Linked DNA regions of Rattus norvegicus. The protein of the gene in region 3 purifies or fractionates together with the protein of the main gene of each other region. This does not show direct contact. Links are inferred from orthologs where the notes say so. Each region holds a gene or a part of one and is shown on either strand. Other genes may lie near its edges.

Region 1 (3,500 bases), on a different chromosome or scaffold from region 3:
AACAGACGCCAGTGGGAACCAAACAGCAGAGCCAAACTCCTCAGCAGCACTAAGCTTCCAGTGACCAGGGATCTGGTCAGAAAACGCACATTTTCAAAATTACCTCAAAGGACAGTGGGTTATAATCACCTCAATGAAACAAGGGGCCACGATCACAGGTTAACTTGGGGGTCTATTGTTTACACAGAACTGTGTATTTTAGGGAGACTTTCTCTTCGCACAGACTTCATTTCTTTAGCATGTACCCAGATTTTTCAGAATATTCTAAAACTTCCAATGGGAGAAAGGCCTGCCTTAGGGGCCCGTGGTAGCCAAGCCTGTCAGGGACCAACACTCACAGTTTGGCGTTCTGCCTTCTATTGGGGGGCTCCTTGCTTGACAGAATCTCCAGACGCTCCAGGTGGCTGAATATCTGGTCTATGCTTGCTTGGATTTCATTTTCCACTACTGCACAAAAGAGAGGGGAGAGAAAGAATAACTGCTAGAAAAAAGATAATAACGTAAATTAAGAGTGATGGATCGTGCCAGGCCATGTTGGCATACACCTTTAACCCAGCACTTGGGAGGCAGAGGCAGGTAGATCTCTGAGTTCTAGGCCAGCCTGGTCTACAGAGCAAGTTCCAGGACAGCCAGGGCCACAGTCACAAACAAAACAAAAACAAACAAAAAACCCCAAAACAACAAAGTAAAAATGATAAGCTATAACACAAACTAAAGCATATGTATTCCCAAAGGAGCACAATGTACACAAATATTATTATATTCATTAGAAAATAAAATGAATATTTAATGGTTGCCCATAAAACTCTGTTAAGTTAAATTTTCTGATGTAGGTCTATTTGAGACTGGTCTCAGATATGGACTATAAACCGCTAGGAGAAGTGTTGCCAACTGAATTCCTTATAGTAATAAGGCTAAAAGAGCAATAAAAGGTATAAAGGAAAGGGAAGACCAGTATAGAAATACCCAGAGGCTTTCTGAAAGAATGGTAGGCTGAGATGTGTTAGGGCCCTCAAAATAGACCACATATCAATCGGAAAGACCCAGGAAAGCACAGGCAGAGGTAGAAAATATGATAGTCATTTTCCTTATCCCCTTTGATAAAGCTGTCAAAATGACCTCTTTCCACTTCTAATCAGGCGACAGTGAGATTGCTGGAAAGGCAAACAAAGGCCAGTAGGCAGAAACTAAAGTGCACAGAGCACGCACCCAGGCGGCTGCCGCACCCAGGAGAAATGACAACCCCAGTACCACCCTCTTGCTAGGTCTTCGCACCTGCAGCAAACACAGACAATTTAGATTAGGGCACTATAGGGTGCAGAGTCAAGGGAAGGACCACCCTGGGGAGCCAGGGAAAAAGAGGAAACAGGAAACAGAAGAGGCCTGGCCAGAGCTGGGCTGTAGGGTGACAAGAGCTTCCAAGGGAGGTCTATAGGGCTGGCTCAGTAAGGGGCCTTTGCTTGGAACAAAACCAAAAAACTCCAAACCACAACCCACATGCTACACACACACACACACACACACACACACACACACACAAACCTGTGGTATGGGAACTAAACTAATTAATATTGCTAGCTGTCTGAATAATCCTACTAAGAAGCCAGAGTCTCAGCTTGGAAGAGATGGCCAGTTCCAGGTCAACATGTCTGAATTTTCAGACTAGGTAATTAGATTAAGACAGATGGAAGGAGAACTTCCATTCCCATAGGGCCGTCAGGTTGAGTGGAAGGGTAATGGGGGATAAAACTGGTGGGACTCCAAGGGGCACAATCGGGGAAATCTATTGGCCATAGGGTTTTTCTGTCCATTCTAACAACAACTCATTCCATGCTGAGTCATTAAGCCCCTAAGGCAGAATGCAGTCAGGAAACCCAGCCCATTAGCCCCATGCCATCAGGGAAAGGACTCTGCTCTCCCTGGTTAATTACTCACAGTGCACAGACTGCTTGTCTGCCGTCTCCAGGCGTCCCATGTGAGACTGGATCTCGTGGACCTGCCTATCAAAGGAAGAGGAAATGAGTGAGACAGGGGTGGTCACCAGCACCTCGGTCAGGAAAGACAACTTCTCTTAATGCTGCCTTACAGCTGATTTAAGGTGACGGTGCTACTCAACTGTAAAATCTGTATGTGGCACTTCAGGCTTCATTTCAAACCTCATGCTAAGAACAACGCTGATAGCATTTAGAGAGAGCTTACTGTATCTGAGACACTGCTAAGTCAGTAACCCCAGAGGAAAGCATCATCACTGCTCTCAGTTTATAAATAAAAACTGAAACCAGAAAGGTCAAGTAAGTTGCTCAAGGCCACACAGCAGGCGATAAACCTCAACCAGTATCCAGCCAATCCCACTCTCTGTTCTGCGACCTAATGTGCTGAGCACTGGTCTGCCTACCAAGAGCCAAAGGGCAAGGAAGATATAATCCTCGCCCCTGAGAAACAACATAATTAGGAACTGACAGGCTGAACAGACATGAGAAACCCCTGAGAAGATTTAAGAAACCCCAACACACACAGGCGGAAACAAAGTTGAGGGAGTTGTGTACAGTGCAGCCAAGGAGGCGGGAAGGCTGGGTTAACAAAGTGTAAACTGGGGTTTCGTAGCTGGAAGGAGTTGTGGTTGCTGAGTTTTCTCATTTACACAGCCCAGGCTTGCCTTGAACTTGTGATCCTCCTGCCTTCGCCTACACAGTGCTAGGATTACAGGCGTGCACACAAGCACGTAGGCTTGAATGCAGATCTGAGCATCACTTTTAAGAAGGTAAAATGAGGTTTAGTGAAGACAGGTTGCAAGATGATGATCTGCAGAAGGGCATGCAAGGCATTTCACATGGGGCAAAAGCAAAATGGAGTGCTTGAAAAACAGTCAGAGAGAGAAAGAACAGAGGGGACCAGGCAGTGGAAGGAACACTTAAGGGAATGGCCCTGAGAGATAGGTATCTCCTGTTTTGTAAACATCTTTCCCTGACAACAGGAGGAGGACTGCCATCTCATCTAGAAATGCAACATGTCCCAGACATTAGGCCTGGAGAAGTTCCAGGCCAAAGTCACCACCTTCCAAACCCTTCCTAGTGGTTCCCCATCACTTGACAGTCCTTGGAATGTTGTCTATGTTAGCCCCAATGGCCTCCTGTGCTTATAAAAGAAAGGCTTTCTACATAGGACCTGTCTGAAGAAGGCCTATCTCCAGCCCTTAAGGGAAAGCTCAACAATCTTTCTCTACTGTGCACACTATATATAGCGCTCAGTACCAACTACAAAGCCATAATAAATAACCATATGACAGCAGTACAAGGATATAGACAATCTTACCCTGGACCCAAGAGCAAAGACCAGGGCCCAGAAGCAGTCACATACTTGGAGACTGGAGACATAAGTCAATGGGGAAAAAATTAATTTAAATAAATTCTGACAGTTCAATTTATCATCTGAATAGAGAACACACTTCATGGAATCCTCCCAACCAAAAAAAAAAAAAAAAAAAAAAAAGGCTCTTTGTG
Region 2 (3,500 bases), on a different chromosome or scaffold from region 3:
TGTGGGGTATAACTGCAAGGAGGACCCCACACTGACAGGTTCTGCCCCAGTCAGGACACTGTGGTGCATGTGCAAGGGAAACCCCAAGCTCCTGGCCCTGCCCATTGCTCTCCACTGTCCCTGCATGTATGTACTTGTTTCAGGTAGAGAACTGAACAGAACGGCATGAGAAAACCAAATTAAACACAGCCCCTCTAAGCAATTCTGGTGGTCACCCCAGCTGAGACCCAGATCCAGGCATCCCTGCCCACTCCACACCCAGTTCAGGGCGAGCCCAATCCAGTGCTCACTTTCATCAGCTTGCATTCCCGGGAATCCGAGAAGGCAGGGAACAGCTCCTCATACTTCTGAACAGCAAGCTGAGCAACAGGAGAGAGGGGGAGAAAAGGTGAGAGAGACTCGGGCACCAAAAGCACTGGCTGGCAGTTCTGTTTTGGTGCTCCATGCCCTGGCATCCAGGGTCCCTGACTCATGCCTGATGGTGCCATTCCTCAGCGCAGCTGAGTCCAGCTGGTAGAGGTGGCTGTAGGAAGGGGCAAGTTGTCCAGGTACAGAGAGAGGAAGGAGGCAAAAGAGCCTACTGCACCTGTCAGGTCTATAGCTGAGTTTTCACACGTGGAGCCCTTCTGAGAGCCGTGAGCAGGTCAGTGGCAGTGGGAAAACTTACTGGGGATACTAGGTGAGTTGGGTGGGGGTGCAGCCTGCTCTGACAAAACCCAACTGTGTGCTTATAATTAATTCATCACTGCGGGCTGGGATGTGGCTCAGTGGCAGAGCATTTGCATAGCAGACAGGAGGCTCAGGTTCCATGCCCACCACAGAAAGTAAAAACAGCAAACTGTTCTACCTCCCCCAAATGCAGAGCTGCCAGCTGTACTTGGGAAGGAGACTGTGGGGCAGCCAGACGTCACGTAGTCCTTGTGGGGCTACTAGAGGATTGAAAGCCAACACTCAGTTTCCAGACCCTTCTACCAACCATAGCTATCCCTATCCCTGACCTCTTGCCCAGAAGTACAGAGATTCAGTGGGCAGGCATAAAGCCAAAAGTCAAGTCATGCCACTTTCGAGTCCCAGGTCCTGGCAGGATCTGTGCCTGGGCCTCAGCAGCTTCTGCACCACAGCTGAATGGGACAGTCAGGATATATAGTAGCCATAAAGGGGACAGGCCAGCCATCAGCTGGGAAATCAGAAAAGCATCCAGACTATTTTCCATCCTAACCAAAGGGTAAGGGGCCAAGTGGATAAACTGACCTCTAACACTGAGAAACATCTTGGCCTGTTGACAAAAAGTGACAGCATGGAAAGGCAGTGGCTCACCTTGGCGTTCAGCATGTCGATGCAGAAGTGGCAAAGGGCCGCCTTGAAGAAGTAGTCTTTGGCGCTGTACTTGAGGAGGGGACTGTCCATGGCGCTGGTCCCCACCTACAGCCACATATCACCATGAGCTTAGACAGGAAACTCAAGGGTGAAGGTCACTGTGGCCCTAAAGCCTGCTGGGAGCTAAGCCCATACTCTGCTGTGAGGTCTGGGGACCACAGGATGACAAGTGAACAGAGACAGCTCAGCAAGGTTACAGAGTGTTGCCAGAATGACCAGAACATGATGAGGGTGTGGGTGGAGTAAGGGAAGGCAGGTGTCTGTGGGCCTCTCCCCAATCAGTGGGGAGGAGGCACCACTGCTAGACACACAGGAAATTGGCATTTAGTGGGCAGAGGGGTGGCAGTTGTGGGAGCATGAGAAGTAGTGCCCGCCCTTCTCCCACAGCCAGCTGCCTGCCTTTCTTCTGGTCACACACTGGCCCCCCCAAGCACAGTGTCACATGACACCTGGTGCTTCCCATGGTTCAGGGTCCCTCCTCTGCTGATTCTTCTCCCTTGTGCCCTACTTTTTCTGTAGAGGATACCCAGCTCTGGGGACAGCTCCTGTGAGGAGGGGCAGGACACACCTAGGACAGGTTGTAGGTGGAAGAAGCATTTGGTGAGAGTGGCCTGGGAGAGAGTGCAGACCGAGTGGGGCAGGCAGAGGTGGGTGGCAGAAGCTGACAGCCAGGCAAAGCCCACCTGCTCATAGATGTCGATAGCCTTCTGGTACTGCTCCAGCTGTGCGGCGTAGCCAGCCACCTTCAGCAGACACTTGTTGGCTGAGCTGTGGGGAGGAGGGGCATGAAGGGACAGTAGCAAGTCCCTTCAAGACAGGAGGGGAGGCTGGGGAGGGGCTACCTGTTGGACTCTTCTCCTTTGTAGTAGTCTGCAGATTGCTCGTAGTGGGCAATGGCCTGGGGAGACATGAGAATGGGACAAATGAAATGGTGGACAGGGTGGAGCAGTGACTCAACACAGCCTCCCCTGCCTTCCGAGACCATAGGGTGGGACATCATGGTGGGTGGGAATGGGAACACCAGAGGCTCAGGCACAGCCAGCCTGATACCAGCTCACCTTCTCTACATCCACCAGTTCTGTCTCATAGATCTCAGCAATGGAGATGTGGTGCTTGGCTGCGATTGTGAATCTGCCCTGGGGATGAGGGGGAGAGCACACTAAAGAGATGTGACCAGAGAAGTGTTCCACAGCAATTCTCACCCCAATCCACTTTAGCCTCCTTGGGTTCCCACCTCGGTAAGGGGTCTGACCACACAGACAGGGGGATGACTTGTGGAGGGATGAACAGCAATGAGCTGACAAGAGCAGTGGCCTAGTGTGGCCTTCTCCCTAGCGGCTAGCTCTCAGGACAGTACCTTACTAGAGGGTGAGGCTGAGCATTTCTCAGGCTCCTACAGACACCAGGGGAGTGCCGGGCAAGGGAAGCACCTGCATAGGCACTGCCCCCACAGGGGATCATGAAGGGGACAGAGGCAGCATGAGACGGGTGTGTGCCGCAGCAGACACCCCATTCTGTCACTCAGCTCAGCGATCAAATCCCTGACCCCTAAAGCACAGTATAGACAGGATGGGACAGAGCAAGGCAGGATCAGCAAGCAACCCTTACCATGTCTGTATAGATCTCAATTGCTCTCATCAGACAGTTAATGGCCTCTGGGGAGGAAAGAGAAGATGGAGAGGTCATTATAGCAGGTCCTGAGGACAGGAGGCAGACTATACTCCCTCAGGGAGATGACGGGCACATGGTTGCCTTGGCTTCAGGGCTCTTAGGATCTCGAGCAACCGGAAGGGTGGGAGCCCTAGACCCCAGGCAACCTAGTTGGACTGAGTATTTCTGCATACAGAGACATGCTGGGCACTTCTTCCCAGGGAGGCCAGCTCCCTTAGGCAGCCACACTTCCAGCTTGCAAGCAGATCAGGGCACAGTGGCACAGTCAGACTCCTATAGAGTTTGAATCAGACTATCACAGCCCTGCCATCAAAGGGCAAACTGCTAGCTGGGGCAGAGGCTATAGGGCTCAGTGTCTGACCTTGAAGACTGTCCTGAGTGAGTCCTATCCTTGAGTTTAGCCTGACTGGCCTCTCCTGCAGAGAAGGCTGGATGCAATGAGCACTGGGCCC
Region 3 (4,280 bases):
AATATCAAGAGTTTGGTATGGCAAGAAGGATGGACAGTCACAGAAAAAGGAAGTCTATCGTTTCTCTCATTGAATTATATCTTCCCCAGATCCATCATCATTTAATCGCATTGCTTTTGGAGAATGGCGGCTTACTTTATCTTTATGAAGACTCTTTTAATGCTATTAAAGTTTATTTTCCCAGTTAATATATCACATTGTAAATCATTTCATGTGTATTTTACAGACACTGTCTTAAGGCAGAGACTTAAGCTGTAATTATAGTCAATGTTTAAGTTGGGAATTGACTTATATGATCAGTGTTTATAATGTATACTTTATAATAATAATAGTATAGTAGTTTCAGAAAGCTCTATTATAAATACCACATCACTGCCATACAGTAGCAACACAACTATATTAACATGGGCAGTAAATAACTATTGGCTTCAAAAAACATTATTTTTGTGTAACCTTGTAATGATCCTTTGATATTAACCACTATACTTCCACGCATCCTAACAAACTTTTAAGCCCATAATTGGACCCCATGCTCCACCCAAACAAGTATTAGGTATTTGTGTGTATTTGGGTTTTTTTCTGCCCATGTTCTTGGTTTTGTAAGTATCACTAGAACACTTAATTTTATCTACCCACTCCTCTTTGTCTATCTTTCCCTCTCCTGGCAGGATGAAGTCTGCAGGCCTGGGTAAGAAAGAGCTGAGGTTCGAAGTTTGGGGACCCTAGAACCTGCTGAGCCAGGAGTAGGGGCGTGGGAGGAAACTACTGGCCTTCTGTCAATGACTTTGGGGTTTGAAATACGCAAGTTATTTGCGTTATTTAAAAGGTCCCTAAGTAGGAGGGAGTGTTTAAAAGCTAAACATCACGGTTCTTTCCAGACATAGAGCAAATGCATTAAACGAGGAATGAGGAATGAGAGACTCCCCACTTCCCTACCAGATGTTCTACTGCGAAGATACAGATTTTTTTTTTCCCTTTCTATTCCACTGGGCAGGATCAGGAAGTAAGAGGATTGATCTTCCTTTAATGCTAAGAGGCTCAGACAGTATAGATGAGACTCTCGAACCAAGTTTGCACTGACTTACTCTCCTCGGACTTTGGGAGTGCAAGGGAAAATCAAGAAAGATGAGTCACCATCATCCAGGCCAGGGAGGAATAACTCTCCCCGGCTAAAGTTGGCACTAACATCATAAAGTCCCTTACTGGCAGCTCTGGAAGAGGTAAAGACCCAGACTCACAGGACTAGAGCCACAGCAGCAGCCTCTGCCCTTCCGGAAACCCCACCCGCTTCAGACTTGGTTCCTACCACGCCCCTCTTACCCTGTGCCCCAGAAGCCCGAAGACTACATTTCCCAGAATGCAACTAAAATCTCATTGCAGGGCGCCTATATGTGTCCGGGTGACGACATAAACCGGCGCGGTGTTTAGACTTTACTGATGTCGTGGCGCTCTGAGGCAAAAAGTTGTTTCTCTGAGGAGCCTTAGGACTGAAGCCGAGGTTGGGTGACCCTGGCCCTTTCCTACCCACTCTTCCTTGCCCTCCTTCCCCTCTCGTGGCAGGATGAGGCGTGCAGGCCTGGGTAAGAGCAGTGCTGAAGTTCGAAGTTTGGGGACCCGAGGACCTGCTGAACCGGGAGTAGGGGCGTGGGAGGAAAACTACCGGCCTTCTGTCAGTGACTTTGGAGTTCCAAAGCGAGTTGTTGGGTTCTTTGGAGAAGGTTCACATCATTTGTCCCAGTTACGAGCGGTTTCCTTAAGTTGAATTTAGACGAAAGTTTAAACCTATATGATACGTTGCACAGTGGTGAGTTGGTTAATAGTCTTAAGTTTTTCTTTCTCTATATGCTAGTTTTTGGGGAGTAGCCCTATTTCCCAAGCCTCGCCGTTTCCTTTGCTTTACTCATTCAGGATCTTACTACTACTACTACTACTACTACTACTACTACTACTACTACTACTATTACTACTACTACTACTACTACTACTATTACTACTACTACTACCATCACCTCCTCCTCCTCCTCCTCCTCCTCCTCCTCCTCCTCCTCCTCCTCCTCCTCCTCCTCCTCCTCCTCCTCCTCCTTCTCCTCCTCCTCCTCCTCCTCCTCTTTTTTAAAGAAGTGACATTTGGGGAGTGGGTATTAAGCTTTTAGCACAGCAATAACGATGTGTTAGTATGGTAACAGTGAGTTACAAAGGTTATGTGTCATTGCTAGCATTGCTAGAGTGCCTGTTGTGAAAGGTCTGGCGATTTACTTGGAACGTTTCTGAGCTAGACCTTGCCCTACTGCTAAGGCAATAGAAGATAGTTTTGATGACTTAACACTTGTTTTTGCCTTTATGGATCAGGGAAAGGAATAACCTAGTAATTACAGAAAGTAATTAGATTACTGTTTTCTGGTTCTGAAGTTCTTTCTCAATAATGTTTTAAAGAAGAAAGGGCAGAATACTTGAAAAAAGTGTATGAAATATTAAAAAGGATGTTGCCATTCTGTCATAAATTGGAATAATTAAAACAGTTTTAAAAAGTGTAATGTGTTTAAAGCCAGTAAATGGACACACACTTGAAATTAGGTAAGAAAAATAAATAAAGCCTCTTTTTCAACTCACAATTCACAGCTTGTTAGGATTTTTAATTTTATAAGAAGTTATACAATATTTATGACAGTGTGAAGACATAGTAGTATTTTTAGTAAGGTTGGTTGTAGGAATAGAATGAGCCACTGGAAAATAAGGGCAATGAAAGGTGTCAATAATATAGATATACAAGTTGCATGTGAAGGAATTTGTAAATTTAGCTGCACTCTTTGAAAGAAAGTAGTCCATCTCAACCTAACAAACTACTTTCAAACAAGATTAGTCACCTGTGCCTAAATTTTTCCATCACTAACAACATTAGACATTTATTGTGATATACCATGTGCTTCCCAAAGCTTCCAGTGTTACCAAGGGGAAGAAGACAAATTGCTTCTGAAGCAGATGACAAAATTATGATCCAAGGTGGTAACTTTTCATTCAGTACAAGTTAAGTTCAACAGATAGTGAATGCAGTAGCAATTTCATTATAAATGGCTCACTGTGTACCTCCTGAAGCCAGGGGAACTTGAAGGATGCCGGTGACAGTGACGATTGAGAGAAGTAAGTCCCAGGTGGGATGATTCAGAGTAGCCGTGAATGATGTGTACAAGAGATTGTAGTGAAGTCACCCTGAGTGAAGCTAGGACCCGGAGGCATTCCAGAGGTCTTGGTCTATTCAAGGAGTTTACACTTCGTCAGGCCAGTGACCTATTGGAATTTTGTTTGTGCATACTGTTTTTAATACATGCAAGTCACGGACTCGACAGTAGGTTTCTACCTCTGACTGAATGTGAGAATTACTCAGAAAGATGTTAAATTAGTTTTTCAATTAAATTAGAATCATCAGGCTTGAAATGCAGTGAGAAGAGGGGTAATTATTTGGTTAAGTATGTATCATTTAAATTGGTGTTAAATAATGAAGATTTTTAAAACTACCATAGTGTGTTGACCTGAATTTGAAATTTGAAAGAATGGTGAGTCTGATAGGCGTTCACATGTAAAACCTGCCACATTACACATGAGCTGTTAAATGAATCGACCTGATTATTGATAGAACCTGCTTCAAGGAAGCAGCACTTTTCAGAAATTACGTCAGCTGACGATGACCTTCAAGACTTGCCTTTCAACAGTTCTTTATAGTAGTAATTAATTCTCACTGAAAACTTAGGTCTCATTCATACTCAGGAATGGTAACTGTAGTATTTTATTTTAGCTTAGTTTGTTTCATTTTTCTGTTTGTGGGTGGAAGATGGTGCGAAGAAAGATCAAATTTGCAACTGCATTAAAAATTTCTGGATCAAAATTTAGTCACAGGGTTGGGGATTTAGCTCAGCGGTAGAGCGCTTGCCTAGCAAGCGCAAGGCTCTGGGTTCGGTCCCCAGCTCCGGAAAAAAAAGAAAATTAAAAAAAAATTTAGTCACTTTAATTAAAATGATTTAATCTCTGGACCTAATGAGATAATCTGTTAAAGAACAAAGTGGAAGAACTCTGAAATTAAATTTAAGATAGGCCAGAGAGTCAAAACAAAAGAAATAAAACAAAATAGCCATTAATTTTGGACAAATTCATTGATGAAATTGTCCAGTGATTAACTTCATCCAGAATTACTTACTGGACAATATGTCATACCTGGATCCTTAGTCACATAAAACAAGTTAAAGATCTTAGTACACAGTATATTTTAAGTGTTGGTTTTAGTTGGT
Region 4 (3,500 bases), on a different chromosome or scaffold from region 3:
AAGCACACTTACACTTTACCCAGTCATTTTCTGCTGAAATCGTGCTTTTGTTGTTTTTGTTTGTTTCTTTAGCACTTGATAATTGGCCTTTTTACTCTTTATAAAGTTTCTTCAATGAGGTACGTGGTAAGAGACCATTCACATCATGGTATTACTACTGTGGATACCATTAATAACTTGCAGTATGCTGGTTAAAAGAGAAGACAGGCAAAGAGAGGAGGAAAATCCTCAAAGGGCAACATTTAATTATGGCTGATGAGCTGCCATCCATTTCAACTGAATCCACTCAGAGCAGGATGAATTCCAATCAGCAAAGCCCTTACTGTAATAAAATGTCTTTACAGGTAAACGAATCAGCAAACACAGGAAAGCAGGTAGTACTTACTTTCGAAGGTGGTCATGTTCTTTCAGAAACAGTTCAGTTCTCCTGTTGTTTACTCCAGACCCACTTTTATATGACCTAAAGCAATGTCAAGAAAAGGCGAGAGCAGTTTTAGTAGATGCTGCAACATCAGGTTAAGGCACGAAACCCTAATGACAACAGAGGAGAGTCCACAGTTCCAAGTAGGCAATCAGAATATGGTGCTCTCCACTTCCCTCAAGGATGAACGACTACCACAGATGTAAAGGGTGAGTTTGTTTCTCCAGCTTAGGTTTAGGGGTTCTCTGTTTTTCACCAAACTAACCCAGGCTTCTGAACAGGGGACCTTACTTTTCCTTTGTGTATTAACTTGGCGTCTTATTTTCTCCAGCAAAGGTAGAACTTCAGACTAGTTAGCACATGGCGCACAGGGCAAGAAGCTACTGAACCAATGTTATCCGTCACAGCAGCATGAGCCGCTCATGAGCGGGAAGCCTAAGGAACTCTGCAACTCAAATGTTCAGCCTGGCACACTTCAGGATCTCCATGTTCACTGTCAGCATATTACAATTACCAAAGGGGACCTGTACTTCTATCAACGATCTCATTCCCTGCTTTTCACTAGAAGTAAGTATTAAGAAGACTTTGTTTCCTTCTCTTTTTTTGGGAGACAGGGTTTCTCCATGTAACCCTGGCTGTCCTAGAATTCTCTATGTATACCGGGAATTTCAAATGTACCTGGAATCTCTATGTACCAAATTCACAGGAATCTGCCTGCTTCTGACTCCTGAGTGCTGAGGTTAAAGGCATGCGCCACCACAACTGGTCTTGAAGAACAATTTTTTTTTTAATTCCCAAACTGTACCAATGTCTATGAAAAGAGGGTCATGTTCTAAAACCCGAAGGCCTGGCTGAGGGACAGTGACAGCCTACAAGACCCAGGACAGACTAGCAAAGCAGCTGACATGACTCTCAAGTCTATGCACCGCCATTATGTAGCTGGATGATCTTAGAAAATCTCTCAGTAACTCCTTTTGTAAAATAAGACCTAATGAGAGCTGCCTCTTTCAAAAGAGTATCGTGGAACCAGAAAGGTAACCCACAGAAAAGGACTGTGTAAAATGCAAAAACAGTACAAAATATTCCAGCAAAGCCACCAGACAACCCTTGTTATGCAGGTATTAAGAGGCCTCGCTCACTAACAAGCTCCCCTCTGCAAACCCTTGTTACTCAGGTATACTAGGCCTCGCTCACTAACAAGCTCCTCTCTAGCACTTTGATGATGAACTCCTTCAAGGCTAAGCTGCCATTTTCACATAGACCTTTCACACAGAATGTCTTGTTCATAGTTGGTACTCAGACAATGGTTTAATGAATGAATGAATATATTTTTATCAACGATTCTTCAGAAACTAAAGGGTTATATCTAGTGGCTCCCACAAACTGTGGAAGAACTAAATGTATAGTTATTGAAGGCCGCCCCCTGTTGGTTCTGACCACAGTCTTCAAACTGTGTAAGGCAACTGTACAGACATTAAAGAAGGCGTATACATTCCTAACAACAAAACCATCACACTGTAGGTCAGGTGTGCTAGTGCACACTTTTCCTCCCAGCTCTTAGGAATCAGAGTTTGAGGCCAGTCTGCTCTACACAGCAGGTTTCAGGCCTGCTAATGCTATGTAGAGAGGCTCTCTGGGAACGTTTCTCAGAGCACATGTAACACATACCAGCTTGTGATGAATGTGTGTCCTAGTTGATATAACATAGGTATCATAAACTATCACAAACGAGACCATCAGTCATTAGATGGTCCAAAATGGGAAAACTGTCTAGGTATGGTGGAAGCCACCTACCATCTCTGCCTTTGGGAGCAGAGTCAGAAGGGCCATACCCTAAGCCAGCCTGACCTCAAGAAAACAAACAACAAACAAACAAAAGACAGTCTTCAGCATCAGTCAGATACTCTATAGGACTTCTACAGGGCAGTACAGGGCAGTGAAGCAACAGATGGAAAGACAGTCCAAATCTTAGGGAGTGAGACCACTATAAAATGCTGAAGGCCTTAGTCTCACAAGGCTTTGATTCTACATTAAACCTAGAAACTCCTGCTCCCATACAAACATAGTTCAGAATTTCAGGGAAGCTAATAGCTATCTGAACACGAGAGAGAGAGAGAGAGAGAGAGAGAGAGAGAGAGAGGGGGGGGGGGAGAGAAAGAAAGAGAGGGGGTGGGTAGGGAGAAGAGAGAAGAAAGAGAGAGAAATAGAACCCTATTATTGGCATTCATGCCATTCTTAGCATGGACGGAAGGGAATCACTCAAGCTGGACTTAGGAAAGTCAGGGTTGGCAGGGGCTCACAGGAAGCCTGGGAGATGGCAAAGTAGAGTCAGCCCAGACTTTAGCTTCAAAGGAAAATGAGATGGAAAATCAGAAACCCCAAAGTTTAAATCCTGGTTTTGCTACTCAATTTGCAATTAGCCACAGATACAGCCTAAATCCACATAAACATTGTATACAGTAACACAAAAGGTAACTTACTCAATATCTTTTCGTACTGATCCCATGAGATTCTCCCTTTCCCGTATTGCCATAAAGTTTGCTTTGGTTTTATGGAATTCATGTGTATAATCCTGAAATAAATCAACATCCAGTCTCAACACAAACTATTTATGTACTTTTATCCTTTTATCTGTTTATCAGGTTACACATTTCCAACACTAAGTGTCCTACCACCTAGTACCTTACCACACAGGACAGAGTTATAAGGAAAAAAACCTAAGGCAAAATGACTTCAAACAGCCTAGGGTAAAAGAAGGGAGAGATTTTCTACCCAATGGTGTACCTAATAAGGCTTAGAGCTTACTTTTTAAACCCTGTCTCCGACCCCATCTTTCCCTCACTGCTGAGGATCCAACCCATGGCCTTACAAATGCAAACCAAGTGCTCTACCACGGAGCTACACCCCCAGTTCATTTTTAAGAAAATTCTATTGTCTTCCATATTTGTATTACTTTTGTATATTAAGCAGTTGAGTCCTTTGTTGTAGTTTCTCGCATTAGATCTTCCTTAGCTCTTCAACGCTCAGAAATTTCTAAATTTCACTCATGATCAATTTGAAATGTTGACAGATTTTCTTT

The links.
Region 1: the proteins of Bet1 (region 3) and Gosr2 purify together in Homo sapiens (affinity purification with mass spectrometry; 3 studies listed by BioGRID and IntAct, with this or other methods). This does not show direct contact. The link is inferred for Rattus norvegicus from reciprocal best matches to the Homo sapiens genes BET1 and GOSR2.
Region 2: the proteins of Bet1 (region 3) and Napa purify together in Homo sapiens (affinity purification with mass spectrometry; 5 studies listed by BioGRID and IntAct, with this or other methods). This does not show direct contact. The link is inferred for Rattus norvegicus from reciprocal best matches to the Homo sapiens genes BET1 and NAPA.
Region 4: the proteins of Bet1 (region 3) and Gosr1 purify together in Homo sapiens (affinity purification with mass spectrometry; 3 studies listed by BioGRID and IntAct, with this or other methods). This does not show direct contact. The link is inferred for Rattus norvegicus from reciprocal best matches to the Homo sapiens genes BET1 and GOSR1.

What each region holds. Positions count from the first base shown.
Region 1 is NC_086028.1:89,095,633-89,099,132, forward strand, and holds part of Gosr2 (Golgi SNAP receptor complex member 2), read right to left. Parts: intron 2,001-3,500; coding exon 1,936-2,000; intron 448-1,935; coding exon 339-447; intron 1-338. UniProt on the Homo sapiens protein: Involved in transport of proteins from the cis/medial-Golgi to the trans-Golgi network.
Region 2 is NC_086019.1:85,928,935-85,932,434, reverse strand, and holds part of Napa (alpha-soluble NSF attachment protein), read right to left. Parts: intron 3,033-3,500; coding exon 2,986-3,032; intron 2,537-2,985; coding exon of another isoform or gene 2,514-2,536; coding exon 2,436-2,513; intron 2,276-2,435; coding exon 2,220-2,275; intron 2,146-2,219; coding exon 2,061-2,145; intron 1,423-2,060; coding exon 1,318-1,422; intron 360-1,317; coding exon 291-359; intron 1-290. UniProt on the Homo sapiens protein: Required for vesicular transport between the endoplasmic reticulum and the Golgi apparatus. Together with GNA12 promotes CDH5 localization to plasma membrane.
Region 3 is NC_086022.1:33,078,363-33,082,642, reverse strand, and holds the start of Bet1 (BET1 homolog), read left to right. Parts: upstream 1-1,480; 5' UTR 1,481-1,561; coding exon 1,562-1,580; intron 1,581-4,280. UniProt on the Homo sapiens protein: Required for vesicular transport from the ER to the Golgi complex. Functions as a SNARE involved in the docking process of ER-derived vesicles with the cis-Golgi membrane.
Region 4 is NC_086028.1:62,091,816-62,095,315, forward strand, and holds part of Gosr1 (Golgi SNAP receptor complex member 1), read right to left. Parts: intron 2,994-3,500; coding exon 2,902-2,993; intron 461-2,901; coding exon 386-460; intron 380-385; exon of another isoform or gene 1-379. UniProt on the Homo sapiens protein: Involved in transport from the ER to the Golgi apparatus as well as in intra-Golgi transport. It belongs to a super-family of proteins called t-SNAREs or soluble NSF (N-ethylmaleimide-sensitive factor) attachment protein receptor.